2 linked regions of the Arabidopsis thaliana genome follow. The protein of the gene in region 1 interacts with the protein of each later gene in a pairwise test. Each region holds a gene or a part of one and is shown in the gene's direction. Other genes may lie near its edges. The genes, in order: PRA1.C and MEMB12.

Region 1 (9,163 bases):
GAGAATGTTCAGATATACAATGTGATCAGTTCGATTCTAGGACTTAAGGCAGCACCAAACAATGGATCTGATGAGTTTTCTTCAAGCATTCTCTTGCCACGCGTGTAGAAGAGTAGGGTAAGTTTATTCTTCTGTCAATAAAAGGCAGTCTAGACTCTTGAGACTTTGTTGTCAAAACATAAACGCGTTTGACCTCTTAGACGTTTTATGCGTTTTGATCTGATTGCTGTTTTTGTATGATTTCATCACGAAGTTGCACTAAAACGTATTGTAGTATTTCGGAGTATGAAACTTGTCTTGACATTTGATGCCAAGATTGGAAGCTTTGTACTTTCCTTCAAAGAAACAATGCTTTGAATTGGATACTCGATTCTTTGCCAATAATTGGAAACAATTTAGTGTATGTTGGAATTATCAACACTTATCACCGATGTGTCCTATTTTCTTGCAATGATTTTGTTGCATCACATGTTATGTTTTTTCTTTCATTACTTGCTTAGTTTATTGGAACAGAACAGATTCACTTAAATCCTTATAACAAGAACCTTCCTCTTTTAAAATCGTGATCGAAAGTAGAAAACTTATCAAACCTAAGTATATGCTAGACTTGATTGATCAAAAATACGAATCTAATTAAACCCAAATCGCCTTCAAATTTGATATTTTTCTTTAGATTTTTCTGTGTTTGTACATCAATTAAAGTTGGGATCCAAATAACAAATAAACATAGATGGCATTTAAGTAAATAAGTTTGTTATGTGTGTAAAGAAAAAAGCATTACTTATCTGCGTTCCGTGTTAAAACACGATTCTAACGGAGAAACAAAAACGCGTTTACGCTTTTTCAACTATCATATCGACAAAACGCCAAGTGGATGATGGCGGTTTAAACGCTATTTAATGTTGAAAAATCGCGTCTATGTATAATTGGAGAGACATGATGAGAGAAATATCACTGGAATCTGAACCAGACAGTTTCTGATCTTCTTCTCCTTAGAGGATCTCTCGGAGAAGATTCAAAACCAAGAACAATCTCAGTCTCTATCTCTCTCTCTGGGTGCATTTAGATGGCTGGAGTTGTGCGATTAACGACGACGTCGGTTCAAGCCATTCGTGTCTCCTCGTCCTTCAGCTCCTTTGCCACCGCTCTTAATCCTCTGCAACCTTGCTTACCTCCAAACTCGAATCTGAATTCCGACAAGAGATTGCGTCTTCTCTCATCTTCTCCTTCCTGCTCGTCTTCTCATTACCACCCATCTTCTGGTCTCGGAAGCCATCTCCCCCTTAGACGACCCAAGAGCCAAGTGGTTCGTGTCAAGGTACAAATGTCTTGCCTTTTAGCTGATTCTGTCCGTAAATCGTATACCCTTTTGGAAATTGAGACTCTTGAGCCCATTTCTGATCTCTTGTTATTCGATTTGGTCTTTCGCCTCTAGCTAGAGCCTAAACGTGAATTGTGACCTTAGCTCACTGTTATGTTCTCATTCCACTTCAGATGTTTAGAATTTAGTCTAAAGTTTCAGTTTTTTTGTTAGAGACGGTGATGCTATTGATTGCTTTGATTAGATGGTGATGCTTTCGGCCATAGTTTTATGTTTCTGATGTGGGTTTGTGGTGTAGGTAGATGAAAATGTAGCCGAGACAGAGCCACCGAAATGGTGGGAGAGGAATGCTCCAAACATGGTCGATATTCATTCTACTGAAGAGTTCTTGAGCGCTTTAAGCGGTGCGGGTGAAAGATTAGTTATTGTAGAGTTTTATGGAACTTGGTGTGCTTCTTGCAGAGCATTGTTCCCAAAGGTTAGTGTCATGTGACGTATCTATTCCATGAAACTATAAGAGTTTCATTTCTCTTTCGTGATTCTGTGAGAAATTTAGATGTTTTTTTTGTGTCTGTTTTGAAAATGTTTTCAGCTTTGCAAGACAGCGGTGGAACATCCCGATATAGTGTTCCTTAAAGTAAACTTTGATGAGAATAAACCGATGTGCAAGAGTTTGAACGTGAGAGTGCTTCCTTTTTTCCACTTTTACCGTGGAGCTGATGGTCAGCTTGAGTCATTCTCATGTTCTCTTGCTAAGGTAAAGAAGGCTATTTCGGTTTCACCTTTTCCGCAACTAGAGCTTGGCATAACGCTTCAAACAAAGAGAACTACTTCGTTGTTCTTTTTCGATAGGATCTATCAAATATTATAGACCCTTTGCTGATATTGATACCAAAACCGGTTGAATGCATTTGGTCTGTCTCTGATTACTATTTGACATCCTCTTCTTTTGAATATTTGTGTGTATTCAGTTTCAGAAGATAAAAGATGCAATCCAACTGCACAATACCGATCGTTGCAGCCTCGGTCCAGCCAAGGTACCTGAAGGCTTAACATTAGCCAAACCAGCTGCATCAAGTTGAAGTGCCAGATTTTTAGATATATTACTAAGGCAACAATCTTTGGTTGCTCAAGCAAATACTCAGCTTAAAATTCTGTATATCGTCATATTTTTGGGTGTAAAAGAATACTTCCTAAAGCCAGTTACGATTCTTCTGCTAATAGTCAATTGCAAATGTATTTTCACTACTGCTGTTCTTTATTGCTTTAAAGCAAGCTTATTGATGAAGTCATGTGAGGTTGCATAAGTCTCATTTCCATAGTTTTGGGGTAAATTTATAACTTTCTCAACTTACCGAACGATAGTGAAAAACAAATACATAGCACAATGGTTACAATAATCATGTGTTGTGATTACAATTTACAAATTTACAAGAATCATATCAAATAAGATTTTTTAAAAATTTACAAATGTGAGCTCAAGACTTTTAAGTGTTAAAGATAAGTTAAGGGCTGAAAACTAAAACATGTAGGAATAAGAGGACTGTTTGGTAAACGTTTTAACGTTTAAAGTCTTGCCTTTTGATATCAGATTTTTCTCAGGTTCCCACGCGCCGCCGCGAAACAGCTAGACGGAGAAATCCAAAATTCGGCGAAGGTTTGAGAAGAGAGAAATCTGAGAGATGCAAGGAGTGTGGAGCCAACTATGGAGGAAATATGCTGATTATAAGTACAATAAGTTCGAGAGATTTGCTGTTTGGGAAATGATCGAACCTTACCGTCGACCAAAAACCTTCACAACTTTGATTACTATCTATGTCGCCGCCTTTTACACCGGCGTCATCGGCGCTGCAGTTACAGAGCAGCTCTACAAGGTCAGCTTCGTATTGTTATCGATTCAGGCCCGGAATTGCTATTAGATTTGTGGGTTCTAATTTGATTCTCGTGATTGGTAAATGTTAGGGTTCGAAATGTGATAAAATTGGAAATGATTCATTGTTGATTACTAATAAAGGATTGTGTGATCATGAAAAGAACTATACTTGAATTGCTTTTCATGGGAATGGTTCATTAGGTCTTTCAATGAAGCTTTTACGTCTTGATTAGTATCTAATCTAATTCATTGTTCTGTAGTATATTGTATTCTTTGTCAATGTGTTTCTTACACTGTTTTGTGTTAGTATCAGTTATGTTTCTTGTTTGAGTGTGAACTTTATGTTACTCCACTCTCTGTAAACAGGAGAAGTTTTGGGAAGAGCACCCAGGGAAAACAGTGCCTCTGATGAAGCCAGTATTCTATCGAGGACCATGGAGAGTTTATCGTGGTGAGGCTATTGCTTCAGATGCTAGCAGCCAGTGAAGCTAACGATTAGGCTATCAGAGACTATGGTGAAGGATGTATCTCCGACTTTGATACGCAGATATAAATGGATTTATACTGGTTCACTAGTATATGTATATCAAAAAACTTCTTTTGGTTCAGTAGAATGTTTGTGTCTGTATTTCGAGTCTAATGACTCTCTTAAGAATCTATTTTCTAGAAATTACATGTAATGACAGTCTCGTTATAGTATAAGGATTTGATTTGAGAAGTTTAAGGGTATCCATTCATTCCTTTGAATATCTCTGCTTGTATCTGCCTCTCTTCTGGTGTCCTGAAATAAAACATTCCCAAATAAGATAGATGATCTAACTACCTCAGAAACATTGAGCCAACACAGATTTTTCTCTTCAAATTAGGTTGCTTCACATTCTTTAGTCCATATAGATTCCTCTGGGGACGTACTCTGTTTCTTTCCTTCCTTTTTTTTTTTGTTTGTTGCTTGTGAAAGAATATGACAACCTATGGCACTATACCATCCCAAGAAAATGCTTCGTCGAGCCTGAGCTTATTAGGACGAGCCAAAGAATTGATCTCGTTAGGTCTTAGCTCTCAAAGGCCATGGCTTGAACTTGTCCAATGTAGTGCCTTTAGCCTTCCTATCTCCTTTAGCGTTGCCACTGAACGAATCAAATCCAACATCATGATCTTTCGAACCAACTACATTGTTATCTTCATTGTTAGTATCTTCATCAGCATGCTTTGGCAACCCGTCCACCTTTCCGTCTTTGTTATCTTGATAGTAGCATGGCTATATGTCTACTCCCGTGATAATGAACCATGGGTGATATTTGGCAGTGTGATCGATGATTCTACTTTGGTGCTGGTTTTGTTGGTCCTCACGATCGGTATATTTCTACTAACAGATGTATCCCGCGGTATTGTGATCGGGGTTTTGGCTGGTTTGCCCGTTGTTCTGGTTCATGGCATGTGTAGGAGGAATACAGAGATGTTGTTCGTCTTGGAAGATGATGAAGAGAAAGTGGCAATGAACACATCATCTTCGTCACTTTCTTCTTCCTCTTAAGTCTTCACAATTGAGCACAAGATTTTCAGTTTTTCTTTCCTGAATTTGTCTACATAGTTCAAAACAACGCATATCCAGTGAAGGAACGTTAACATGCTGCAAAAAGAACTTGAGCTCTTTTGCGATCAAAATTCAGGATGTGGATATTGATGTACTGATGCATGTCAGAGACCTTGGTGACAAATAAAAGGCAATTTTGCGTGCTGATTAAAAACATTATCCTATGATAGAATTCCTATCTAATTATCTCCAACAAGCCAATACAATAACGAAGACAAGTGTGATCCTCTTCTCAGTTATCACTTATTACAAATTATCCAATCGATTCTCTCATTTTCAACAATTACGAATTGAAAGGTTGTAACTTTATATGAACAATGATCTAGTTTTTAATTTTATCACAACAATTATCAAGTTCAAATGCAATAGGGATTTGGCTATATATACCATTTTACTTTTTAGACACGACATGAAGAAGTAGTTAGACCATCTCCAACAAAGAGAACCCCAAAAAATTCTCAAATAAAAAAAATATTAATATTTTACTATAATTTGATTATACAATTAAATTTTTATTTTAGTAAAAAAATTAGATAATTGTAAAAGAGATAAGTGTTTAAAAGGAACTCTCTAAAATATCTGAGGTGGTTTAGACGTCTCGCTAATATCAACCGGCCTAGTCCCAGAGTGAATACAATATTTTTACATTTGGTAAATGTTAAGCAAAACCAACTAAGACTTATTCCTAATAAACATATTTAATTTATTTATTTCAAAGAGATAATTACATAGGTTTATATTGTCTATGAAGAATTATTTTGTTTATAATTTTTTTAATATGTTATAGTGTTCTAGAATTACCAAAATATAAAGTTTGTTAATCATGTTTAATTTAAAGCAAAAAAAGAAGATAAAACATAAGAAAAACAAAAGCAAACTACAAGCAAAATATATATAAATTTTCAAGATTTCTCCTTATTCCTCCAAACTCTATGCATTTTAAAATAGTTGGTTTGAGGATGTATTGTTTATTATTTCGTTATTATCATGCTTTATATATATTTTTGAACTTTTTGGATCAAAAATAACAAATCTAAGTATTTTGACAATAATTTTAAATACGATCATTTAATATCCTCAAATTTTACAAAAAAGCTGATCGAAAAAAGTAGTCCAATCGATATTACCGTTATTTTTCTCTTAAAAGTTTTTGTTTTTTTGTAGGGTTTCAGATTTTGGTTTGACCCGATCTACAGCAGAGGGCAACGAATCAATCATGACAAAGTCTATCCTCGGCACATATGGTTACATGGCACCTGAATACGCATGTATGCTTCTTCTCTAATCTGTTAATGTTTATTACATCGGATCACCAATGTTATTGTTATCTAACAGCTTAAACTTTGTAAGTGCATTGATTGGAAGGGTAACTACAAAAGCTGATGTCTACAGTTTTGGAGTTATTCTCATGGAGTTAGTCACAAGCAAGGAAGCTTTAGACAAGAAGCGATCAGATGCTGAACATCACATTCTCAGTTGGTTCAGGAGAGTCTGCATCGACAAAAACTCTTTTAGAGAAGCCATTGACGAAACAATTTAAGTGAATGAAGAGAACCGCAACATCATTGACGACGTAGCGAGACTAGCAATTCACTGCTGCGCCAAGGAGCTCACTCAGAGACCAGAGATGAAGTATGTTGTCTCTACACTTACCTCACTCTGTGACACTTGGAAGCCTAGTGAAATCGTAGACAACGACAGGGAGGACACAAGTGTATTAGAACTTGTAAAGAGATGGAAGGAGCAAGAGATGGAGGGAAGCAGCAGCGGTATCATTGTGGTTTGATGGAACTTCTATAGATATGTAGTGTGATGTAGAGTTTATGGTTCATTTGTATAGTAGAAGTGTAAGTTTTGAATATGATTAAGTTCAAAGTCTAACCTCTTCGTCATGATTTTTGTTTCAAATTTGTGGTTTCTTGGTCAATGTGAAGCAGGGATTCTTTATTCACTAGTATATATAGCTTTGTTATGCCTCAATTTTTATTTTGATTTCGCTTTATTCAAGGTTTTCGTGTCTCAATTTAGGGTATCGTTATTGAATTTCTTGGGCTTCAATTTAGGGTTTCTTTATTGAATCTTTGGGGTTTTACCCTCTCGCAAGTTAAGCTAATATATACATTATTCGAAAGATATCTTGAATGTAGAGCTTGATGTACCAATATGTAAAAAATCTTCTCTGTTTCATGTAACATTGGAAATTCCTAGATTTATATTGTTCTGACATTACATTTAGATTTGCTTTTAAGAAGTTATTGTATTGTGATTATTGGCATATGATTATAAACAACTAGTTATATAAATTTTGCAGAAGTGTTTTACTTTAGGATTAATTTGATTGTATACCTTATATTTTAGTATTAATTTGAAATCTACACTATAATATTACACTATTTGAAATATATTTTATATTGGTTTTAAAATGACATGTTTGTCCTTAATAAATAGAAACCATTAGAAATAAGACACTAAATAAATTGATTAATTAGTTATAACAAATTTTATTTTTAAACTAAACTGTTTATATTTAAGAAATTAGATATTCAAACTATTTTAGAAAATGTCAATTAATTTTATCCATTATATTTAATTATGGTAAAACTTCAATAAAAAATCTGTAGTTTTCAAATATCCATATATTGGGTATATTGTTCAAGATTTTAATAAAATTTGGTACATTTATAAAAATCTCCCCTTTTTTTTTATATACTAAAAGACCCAAAAAAGGTTTTATGGGCCCAAAATGTTATTTTGCCCTAGGGCCTTTGATAGTGTTGAGCCGGCCCTAACACTTAGCAGGAGTTTGCTCAATGGACCACGTTATTCTCTACTTCGATGTCTTTACCTCGTATGTAAGATTACAACATACAAACTAGATTGAGTGATTACATTATAAGATTCATGTGTGATTCAGGAACCATTTTTCTTTTTTTCTTGTTGAAATTAACTCATGAACCAGTTTTCAAAGCAAACAAAAAGTAGTTAGGATTACGTTGGTAGTTTAGTAGAAATTAGAGTGGTCAAAATCAATGAAATAATTTTACTTTAATACATTTTCATGGTATGAATAGTAAATATATAAAATAAGAAAATTATTCAAGATGCATAATGACTCGTGACCTTTTTTCCAAAGAAAATTTGTTTCATAGTAGTTAGGATTACTTTAGTAGCTTAGTAGAAACTAGAAAGGAATGTGCTAAAGAGTAGTAATTAAATAATAATTCAATAGTTGTAGTTCGTCACATTTTCATGGTATTGAATATAGTAAAAACAAAAATGTGGAAATTAAATAAATCTTTATACTTTTGTAATAAGACTTTTAGGAGTTCATGGAAGCTGTTACCATCTTCTGTGAAAAACAAATATATAATCCTTAAATTCAACCCTTCTAAATTCTTATTATCCAATTGCGCACTTAGTAGGAGTTTTGCCATTGGTCAGTGGACCACATTATTCTCTACTTCGATACGTTTGGAAGTGAGACTTTTATTTTACCAACTAATGGAGATTCATGCAAAGATATCTATTTTACTACTTTTTTTTGCTTCTGCAAAACCAAAAAAGGTTCGATAACTTTATTACGTCAGATTCTTATTTTAATTTTATCATAAACAGAAGACACAATAATATATGATTTAATAAGGTCCGTATCTAATGTAGGAAAAAAATCGGATAATCGTAGGTTTATAGAACAATATGTTATTCGTAATGACAAAAGCAATTCAGAATATTATTCGTTTGGAGCCAAGTATTGTGACAAACAAAAACAGTGACATTTCTAAGTGCAAAGTGAATTGACATCGTGAAAGATTATGCATTGACATTATTTAAAAGGTAATTAAGGTAACAATACATAAAACCAAAGAAGAAGCCCAAAACATAACATAATTATGATTAATACTATTTTATCATCATAAGTTTTAATCACCAGAATATGCATGTGTAATTCCCCCACTGGGTTAGTTTCCTTTATATTAGCATTTTTTATCTATCATCTTTAGTATACGCATCAGTAATCTATCATCAAGGCAGCATAAACATGCTTCAATTTTCTGCGGTCTTGTGACAACGGAAGACACTGAAATTGCACCCGGGGGCTATAGTCTTCAAAAGAATCCTCGCAGTGGCCTCTTGACTCACTTTCGCATCATTCATCTCCACCAGCACAGCTCCAGTGATCATCTCAAACCCTTTGCCTTCGCCACGAGCCATAAAATCAACAAGCGCCGCTTGTACTGGTCCCAAACTAAGGTTATACGCCGCCGATTCAATGCACCATCCTCCGTAAACTTCCCCTTCGCAAATCAGCGCCACCCCTGACGGACACTTGCTATACTGTGCGTTCGATTTGTTTGCCGCCGTTAGGGCCCTACAC
Region 2 (9,925 bases), on another chromosome or scaffold:
TACGTAATTTCAATTCGTACACAAGAAGCATATATAATACAGACGTAAAACAATTAATCTTCAAAATCGATATTAAGATTTAACTCCAACAGAAAGCTACAAATTTGGTATTTTCGTTTATTTACCCAAAAAGTACCAATAAGACAAGAGGCTCAAGGCCAAGGCTGCCAAAATTCAGAATCTTTTAGAGAATGGCACGAGAAATCAATGAAAAGCGAAACTAGCCTGGACTTTTGGACCGAACCGAACTAAAGTTTGTTCAATTTGGTTTGATTTCGGTTCTTGGCTCGATAAGAGGAAGCACAGAAATTCGGTAATCATGAACCGAAATTACAATATGGCTAAAACATCAAAGAAGAAGCGGTAGCAATTAGCAAATGGCTGGAGTTATCGTTGCGGTTTAGAACTCACAAAGACTGAAAGACATCATGTGGTGGACGTCATTGTAAGGGGAATATCTCTCAAGCTCCAATATTGGAGAGTTTGATCATGATGTGGTTACATGAATTCGTATTGATCAATAATCATATGGTACGTTCGTTGTATAGAACAACCTCTTCTAGTACAAGGAGCCTGAAGAGACGACCACTAACTAGGAATGTTGGATGATGATGAAGCTAATCATCCAATTGCACCTGCTCCTGCAAGTGGTAAGTTTGGACAAAGATCCTTAATGCTTTTGAGTCTGATTTCGATGTTAATGCTTTTGTAAGTTGTGTGTCTTTTTTGTAGTTCATGTGGCTCCAGCAACAGATGGATGGGACATAGCTGTGTTGCCCCAAGCTGCTCCAGCTTCTTCTGGTTGGAACTTAAAACTAAAATTATAAACCATTACTCTCTAGACAATGTTTCTTTTGTTCCTGTTGGGACCTAGCTATCTCTTCTTTCTCGTTAAGACCCTTTGATTTTTCTCTCTAGCCTTTTTGTATCAAATATAATTACACAATGTCCACAATAACTTCTACTTTAAGTTGCACACATTATCTGTGTTTTTTTTTTTTTTTTTTTTCCTCGCACACATTATCTGTTTTATAAGATACATCATGGTTGATATGACAAACAAACGATCGCTTCCAACATTGCAGTAAATTTGTTTCATGTTTTGAATTCATAGATAGTATGAGAAGAAGTAACAACAACACTAAACTATCCACGCTTGAAGCTCTTAAATTCTTATTCCTTATCAAAGTAACATAAAGCATACTTCTTGGACTTCAATCCTTGTTGCAGCTTCTGTAAGATTGAAGTTTGGAACATAAGGTAAAAACAAAGAAACAAAAGTGAGAAACCCCTAAACAAATTTAGTAGGATGACATGAAATATCTTTGAATTCATCATCAGTAACTCAGTATCTCTTATGTCTGTCTAAACTGTTTGTTTATTCTCAATCACTTCTACAATTGGAAAACCGTTTTCTGTTGGCTTCCATGATGTGATTTGGAGTTTTTCATTTTGTTACAACTCTTTTTAAATATCCATTTTAGGCGATTTTAGAAGTAGTGGCTCATGAAAGTTTGTATACAGATATGGTTATATTAGTTTATCTCCAATGATCTTATTGAACAAAGGAAGTCATTCTTCTCTCATACTAGTAAGTCAGTAACTTACAACTCTAATGTTCCACGGCATCTATTTACTCGGTAACTAATTTAGTTTGATCCTTCAAGAAATTTCTCAAGTTTTCTTGTGCATGTTTCTTTTTACATCGAGGGCATTTTGTGAGAGGTGATATATATGTTATTAACTTCATTCATTTGAAACCCTACAATACCATTTCTTTGTTGTTGTTATGACAACAGAATCTGATCAGTTGAAATCAAGACGAGCAGATACATGATGAAAATCGAACAAAACAGAGGAAGAACAAATGCGGTGAAACAACAGATACAAAGTCAAGTAATAAATACAAATATAAGCTTCAAGATGTTGCAAAATCTACAAAATCCAATAAACACTCCTTAGAGGTCTAAACAAAGAGCCTTGACTCAATAGAACAGTATCAGAGTAAGACTTTCCAGTAAGAAAAGAAAAAAACATTCTAAGAATAGTAACAGTATCAAACTCTACATTGCTGCATTCACAAACAAGTGTAGGCAATACTATTCTACAACAAAAAAAAAATACAAAAAATCAGAAGATCTAAATAAAAAACTAGAGATGAAATCTATGGTTCATGTGATGTGATCTGATGTTTCCTACTTGGACCTCTCCTGGTACAAAAATACACAATCTTGATGTCAAAATCTCAAATAATTTAGTTTTTTTTGTGTGTGAAAAGATTGGAAAATATTTGATCGTGTACTTACTTGTTCTGTATGGGGCTATAGCGACTCCTCGGGATTTTCCGTAAGCTATCTCCTTCACCTCCAAGAGACTTCTGCTTCATCTCTTTGCTTATTTGCAAATCTCTCAAATCTCTATGTCCCTCTATGTGAAACTTGCTGCTAAAGAAAGCTAACAAAACCAGAAACAGAGCTATTGAGATCGATCTTGATGGATGGAATCTCTTCATTTGTGAATTCTCTTTTAGGTCTTGAGAAAACTTTTAGGTAGAAATATGATGAGTTAAAGTCTTAAAGAGAAGGAGATAGAGAAAGACAACTTGTAAAGCTTGTTGGCTTTGTAAGATATGTATGTATTGTCCTGCGACTTTTTTTGAGATCTGATCACGTGAATTAATTTTTCTTCTCCGAATCATTTATTTCAGATGCTGAGATATTTTTTTTATCTTAATCAACTAATTTATGGAACATTCACTGATGTTGAGAGTGTCCTCACTTTCATACAAGCACATGTATACACGTTTATTTATGTGTTTACCAATATTAGTAAATCCAACTTCATGAGATCTCAAAAGTTGCAGGTAAAACATTAACAGGCTGTGTTTTGTCTCTATGCTAATTGCTAAGGCATCAACATTATTTTCATTCATTTTTATTTTTGTTTTCCTAACAAGCTTTATAGGGACGACTGGACGAGCGAGAAGAAGACAGTCAAATATTTGGGACTTGAGTCACTTGCATGGGAAAATTGCAAAACAAAATTTTCATATATTTGAGAGTTTGAGTTTTACGTACTAGAGAAAGTTTTATAAAATTTAAGATCTTCTTCTAATCAAACATATTTTTAACAATGTAAACTAATACAAATTTTCAATAATTATTTGCATTAAAATCGGAAACTAATAAATAATAAAAAGAATATATCTTTGTCAAATTGTTTTAGGTGAAGCTACTACTACTATACCTTGGAACTTTTTCATTAGCATGGGCTGCGTTTCTTTTACAACTGGCACAATTTTGAAAAAGTGAAACTTATATATATATATATATATATATATATATATACTTTTTTTTTTATATCCACTTTTTATGAGAACGTTATGATGTAAACAAAAGAACTTTAAAATATACACACCTAAAAATCGTATTTAAGCTAAATCTTGCTGGAGTAATAACTATGTTAATCAAACCATTATATGGACAGCTTGTTTGATCAATCTTTGACCATGATAGTGTCAATCCCCCAATGATCCCGTAGAGGCTAATTAGCAATTCCTTAATTTTTTATCGTTCGGATTTATTTATTTTTGTTCAAATTACCGGTCGAATTGTTTTTCTTTTCTGAGCTCATATTTAGTGTTTTTAGTGTTTTTGAACTCAAATTACCGGCCGGATTTTTTAGTGTTTTTAGAATTAGCTCATAAATCTGAACTCATATTTAGTGTTTTTCTTTTCTTTTAAATTCAAAAGACATTTTATTTTATGAGAATACTAAAAACCATACAATGTACATATGATATCCCTTTTTTTTTATAAAGGAAAATAACCATGAAAAAATAGAAAATACAAAAGATGGTTTTATGGGAGATTTGCCATTTATGAAAAGGGAGAAACCATTGTGATTACTAGAAACAAAAAAAATATCGTGATTTTTAGAACATTTTTTTTCTTTGATTAATTTGTTACATTTCTTGTGTTTGTTTACAAAACCGAATTGTAAACAGAACCAGCCAAGCGCGTCTGCTTAATTGGGATTTGTTCCCGGTTTAAGTAAACCAACTCCTTGCTATTCTTTTTTAATCCCTCGCAGAATTTCTCATCCGATTTTCACAAACTTTCCTCGGATCTGGTCACGAATTGCTTTGTGTAACAAATTCAAATTCCAAACCCAAGCAAGCCTCCATTGAACTGGTACACGGATAAATTTTTTCTAAAGCTTTTCTTAGATTTCTCTCAATGCGATTTTGTTGAATTTCTTGGTTTCAGTCGATCGAATCAAATGAATTGCCGATTAGATGTTTTCTTAACATAATTTCTAGGATTTTGATCGAATTGCTGGTTCGTGATCGAGTGATTTGTCTGGATTAGATTTTAAGTTTTATGCAAATCTTGTTGAAAGGTGCTTAACTTTTGATTCAAGTTTTACTTAAGAGCCAAATTATAGGTCAATGTCATGTAGATTACTATTAATTCTTGAGTAAACTGGTTTAAATATGTTTTTGTATATATGTTCCAGATTAGAAGTTGATATTGATATAATTCAGCAAAGAGAAGAAGATTCTGCGGTGTTCTTGGTCACTTTGTGGTTTGTATAATGGCGTCTGGGACAGTGGGAGGGTTGTCTGAGGTATATAGTAGTGCAAAAAGGATTCTACTAAGAGCTCGGAATGGAATCGAGAAGTTGGAGAGGTTCGACTCTGATCCTACCGACCTCGCCTCCTCCGTGAAACGAGACATTACCGAGGTTCAATCTCTTTGTTCCAATATGGACGGTCTCTGGCGTTCGATCCCTGTCAAATCCCAGCGTGATCTTTGGAGAAGGTGAGGAAGTTTAGATCATCAAAATAGCTGAAGTAGTGGTTAAACTCTTGAGCATTTGGATTTTTTTTGCTGTAGGAAGAGTGAACAAGTAGGAGAAGAGGCTGAGTATTTGAACCAAAGTCTAGAGAAGTACATGTGGAGGAATCAGAGGAAGATGTTGGAAGCTAAAGAGAGAGCGGATTTGTTAGGTAGAGGGAGTGGAGAAGGAGCTCACATTTTGCAAATATTTGATGAGGAGGCTCAAGGAATGAACTCTGTTAAGAATTCAAAGAGAATGCTTGAAGATTCGTTTCAAAGTGGAGTTGCTATTCTCTCTAAATATGCTGAACAAAGGGATCGTTTGAAGGTAACCAAACCCTAACTTAAGCTTTAAGTCAATGAAGAAAACAGTTTTTTAACATTGGGTTTTTGAATTCTCAGAGTGCGCAGAGGAAGGCTTTGGATGTTCTGAACACTGTTGGGCTCTCTAACTCTGTATTGAGGCTCATTGAGAGGCGTAATCGTGTTGATACCTGGATTAAATATGCGGGTATGATCGCAACGCTTGTCATATTGTATCTCTTCATAAGATGGACACGCTAGAACCAGAGAACTTTAATTACATTACCATAGATTGTATGGAGAGAGTTTTGTAACACGTTTTTTTGTTTTGTTTATACCTCTTACAAGACATTTTCAAAACACTAGTACACATATTCTCCATTTCATTTGCGTCTAGTATGCTCTCGATTTATGCCAACTTTTCTTCCCCAACTTTTGATGTGTTCCTCCTATATCCGAGAATGATGTATTGCTCGCAGTGTAAGAGAACTTGTTCAAAACTTCTCCGAGACTGCAATCGTTGTTTAACACAGAAGCTACTACATTTGTTTGGGTCATTGCTTCGGCGACTAACATGAGCTTCAAGACAGTTCATATTTAAAGTGATTCGAAACAGTTGACTTTAGCATCATTGTATTAATGGTCAATGTTTTTTTTTGACCAAAATAGTCAATTCCCCAAAGGTCTGATTATGACAAATACCGAACCGGGATAGGATAATTATAATTAAATACAGAACCGACTCAACTGGAATAATTTTGATCCGGTTAAAGGAAAACCAATCTCCTTTTGATATTTCGACACTCTCTCTTTCCTCTCTCCTTGTCTCTGTACCGCGTCGAAATATGAGAAACGAATGATTTGATCATCAATCAACGAGAAACACACACGGAGAAAGAGAATCTCAAATTAGCTCCAGCTCCTGATCGATTCCGATTTTCACAATTCTTTCCTTGGATCTGCTCTTACCTTGTCACGATTTCACTTCCCTGTGTTTTTGATTTATACTTGGTCATCCAATAACGAAACTTTGATCAAACTGGTACGCCGATTATTTTCTTTCTTTCTTCTGATTTTCTTAGATTTCATTAACTTGATTGACTCAAAATCAATAGGGATCTTTAGGGAATATTCTTTGATATGTTTTGGAATTTTATCTGATTGCAAAATATTTGTGTGTATGTTTGTTTTGTTTAATTGGAATTTTAAGTTTTTTTTTTTGTTTTCATCACAATTTCATGGGTTTAGGCAATTTTGTTGAACGGTGATCTTTTTTTGTGTGTGTGTATCAATTTGTCAATTTGTATTTAGAACAGATACTTTAAGAAGTGTTGCTTCTCTATATGTGACTTGAGATTGTAGTAATAGCTTAACTATACGGCAATGTCATGGAGTAGATTATACATGCTTGTTCATGTCAGTTTTCCAGATGTATGACTTAAGCAGGATGGTTTCTTTATCGAAGATGACCTTAATTTGGTTTATGTTACTGTCATTCATTTCATACTTAAAGGTTGGATTATATTTTCTACAGTTTACAATTCGTTGTTTTGGTTGACAGGAACTACAGTTTATTGGAACTCCCTGAAGCATTTAGATGGCAGAAAAAGCTTGTATAAAGCGTCTTCAAAAAGAATACAGAGCGCTTTGCAAGGTATTATTTTCTTCTTATTCTGTTCCCATCCTTGATTTGTCTGTCACTGGTATCATTCTACCCATTCGATTTTCATTTTTTTTTTTATCAAATGTGGTTTCTTTGCTCTATGCTAGTTTTCATGGTTTTTGGTCTAGGATAAGTTTTTTTCTTATGAATGTTACTTTGGAAGTATCTTTGACATGTTCTGTTCTGGATTGCTAGGAACCAGTCTCGCATGTTGTTGCTCGTCCTTCCCCAAATGACATTCTTGAATGGCGTAAGTCTTATCTGGCTATTTAATGTTCCTTTTCTTTATTTTCTGCTTTCTAGTTATTCTATTGAAGGTTTGGCTATGGGGATACTGGCTTTAGGTACATATAGCGTGTTGCTATGGTGACAGAGATACTATTGGTATCATGTTTTCAGGATTACCAGTAATATGTAATGGTGAAAACTTGCTTTGTTTATAGAAACCGAAAAGTAAACCTAAAGTTTTTCTTATCTATTACCTAACTGAGAATGGTCATGCTATTCTGCTACAAGTTAGGGTATTTTTATCCTCGCTACTAGTGTTACTGCACTATTTATATAAATGTAGTCAATTGAGTTTGAACTATTGGGTTTTATTCTACAGATTATGTGTTGGAAGGCAGTGAGGGAACGCCTTTTGCAGGTTCAAATCTTAGATTTACATTTCAAATGTGATCTTCTACATTCCAAAGTAGTATATGATTCTGATATCCGGATTCTCTTTGATAGGTGGATTTTACTATGGAAAGATCAAGTTCCCTCCAGAATATCCTTACAAGCCACCTGGAATCACGTAAGCTCTTTCGTTCTTCAGAATTCTCACTTAAAATATCACTCTCCTATGTTTTATTCCTGGTTTCCAATCAACTAAACTACTGTTGCTGCAGAATGACCACACCAAATGGTCGATTTGTGACGCAAAAGAAAATCTGCTTGTCTATGAGTGACTGTAAGCACAGTCTTCATTTTCATTCCTTTGTTTATTAATTTCAATGAACTTGTCTGTTATCTAATTAGCTTTATCATTCCATCATTCCATGTACAGTTCATCCAGAAAGCTGGAATCCAATGTGGTCAGTGTCAAGGTATAAGATCTGATGTACATTCAAATTGTGTTCAAGTTATTAAAATAAACAGAGTAATGGATCCTTATTTGACCAATTTGTTTCCCTGAACGCAGCATACTTACAGGACTTCTCTCATTTATGGTAAGCTTATGGAACGTTTCATCTTGCAGAGCCTCTCAGTTTATCCTTGGTCATTAGATCTTTACTGATTTAACATGGCAATGTCTTTTTTAGTTTTTACTGTGATATTTTATTCTCCATTGCGTTCATTAAATTTCTTTCCGCATTACAACCTTGTGGTCCACAGATGGATAACAGCCCCACAACGGGAAGTGTAAACACTAGTGTAGCCGAGAAACAACGGTTGGCGAAGTCATCTCTTGCTTTCAATTGTAAAAGGTAAGTTCCATTCCCACCAAAAAAATGTTTAGGATACATCTCAGAAGTTGATTAGAGAACAAGATAGCTTCTACATGTTATGTTTCTCATCTTTTTCAAACTGTTGTGGCAGTGTAACATTCCGGAAACTATTTCCCGAGTATGTCGAGAAGTACAGCCAGCAACAAGTAGCTGAAGAAGAAGCAGCCACTCAACAGACAACAACATCTGAGAATCAGGATTTTCCTCAGAAGGACAATGCGAAAGTCGAATCAGAGAAAAGCGTTGGTCTTAAAAAGGAAAGTATTCAAGAAGTGGGATTGAAAGAGAGGAGAAGGAACAAGAAAGAAGCATTACCGGGTTGGATAGTATTGTTGCTAGTATCGATTGTCGGTGTTGTAATGGCGTTGCCTTTGCTTCAGCTGTGATTTAGATGCAAATGCAACGCAACACAACATGACTGCAAATCAATCTGGTAAAATCTGTTTATCATTGTCTCTCAGTCTCAGTACTAAGTAGTGTCTTTTGTTCTTCCCCCTCTCTTGAAAAGAAAACAGATACATTGAGTTTGGTATGGCATTTGAAGTTACGTATAAATATAAATGTTAGCTTAATTTGATTAAGAACGAACTCGCCACCTAATGTGGTGGATTCATGGACTTTACGACATCATCTTTTTATGAAATCAACCCTAAAGTTATGAAATACGTCCATATAAAAAATTCGAGTATCTTGCAGCAACCAAAAATGCCAAGCTTTAACATTGTCATTGTCATTTGGAAATGCTGCTTGCATTTTGTATTCAAAAGAATCGAACATGTAAGCATCTTTGATCTGTGAAAAAGGGATTCCACTGAATCATTGTGTGTGACTATGTCATGTGTGTGTGTATAAAGGATCTTTGATCTACATATATATATGAATTATAATATACTTGTCTATAAAGGAATCATTTCTTGTTCTTATTTTTGATATTTAAATACATACAAATTTATGTGACAAAAAAAAAACATACAAATTTGTAAATTGAACTTATGACACCACTAACATAAATATCACATACAAATTTGAATGGATTTTCTGATTTATTTATATTTTATACTAATTGAATAAATGTTTAAGACATAGGTTATTTTTATCTAATGACGAACTGATTACTAGATATATTAAATACACTTCTATAAATAAGTTATATTTGAACAATAAATAGAATACTTTCAATAACCTTCATATATAACAAAACGTCCACTAAAGTAGTAACTCATGTTTAACATAAGTTTAAAAAAGTATATAAATTTGAAACCATAGGAACTCCATACTCCAAAGTCAAACAATTAGCAAAATCAACATAATTGATATTCCTTTTTTAAAATTATTTTTTAATCAAAATCTTGAAAATAGAAATGAGGACAATTGTTTTGTTTTCCACTCTTATGATCCTTGTTTTGTCATGTAAGTTTAAATTTCGTTAATGAAGATATTATGTATATTTTTTTAAAATGTTTCTTTTGAAAATTTAATTTTATATAATATTTATTTTGAATTAATATAGGTATGTCAAATGCCACGGTAAAATCTTATTCAGAAGAGAAAACTCATTCTTTCGATTTAACAGCGAACCCTCCAATTGATTTAAATATAGTAGATGAACTTCCACGCGATGAACATCT

Evidence for each region.
Region 2: the proteins of PRA1.C (region 1) and MEMB12 interact in a protein complementation assay, tested with the Arabidopsis thaliana proteins (one large-scale study listed by BioGRID).

Annotation. Positions count from the first base shown.
Region 1 is NC_003075.7:14,529,012-14,538,174, reverse strand, and holds PRA1.C (prenylated RAB acceptor 1.C), read left to right. Parts: upstream 1-4,101; 5' UTR 4,102-4,155; coding exon 4,156-4,728; 3' UTR 4,729-5,238; downstream 5,239-9,163. Other genes in the region: AT4G29680 (Alkaline-phosphatase-like family protein), read left to right, coding at 1-108; ACHT2 (atypical CYS HIS rich thioredoxin 2), read left to right, coding at 1,067-1,318, 1,620-1,799, 1,914-2,192; EMB2752 (embryo defective 2752), read left to right, coding at 3,004-3,195, 3,561-3,680; AT4G29654 (Protein kinase superfamily protein), read left to right, coding at 5,721-5,749, 5,961-6,032, 6,124-6,263, 6,339-6,574; AT4G29650 (Cytidine/deoxycytidylate deaminase family protein), read right to left, coding at 8,833-9,163.
Region 2 is NC_003076.8:20,533,124-20,543,048, reverse strand, and holds MEMB12 (membrin 12), read left to right. Parts: upstream 1-4,052; 5' UTR 4,053-4,193; intron 4,194-4,489; exon of another isoform or gene 4,490-4,518; 5' UTR 4,519-4,596; coding exon 4,597-4,823; intron 4,824-4,898; coding exon 4,899-5,169; intron 5,170-5,243; coding exon 5,244-5,405; 3' UTR 5,406-5,623; downstream 5,624-9,925. Other genes in the region: AT5G50443 (uncharacterized protein), read right to left, coding at 2,165-2,210, 2,307-2,512; UBC33 (ubiquitin-conjugating enzyme 33), read left to right, coding at 6,742-6,798, 7,003-7,057, 7,415-7,453, 7,540-7,603, 7,698-7,759, 7,856-7,895, 7,991-8,018, 8,185-8,276 and 1 more; AT5G50423 (Putative membrane lipoprotein), read left to right, coding at 9,659-9,707, 9,808-9,925. UniProt on the Arabidopsis thaliana protein: Involved in transport of proteins from the cis/medial-Golgi to the trans-Golgi network.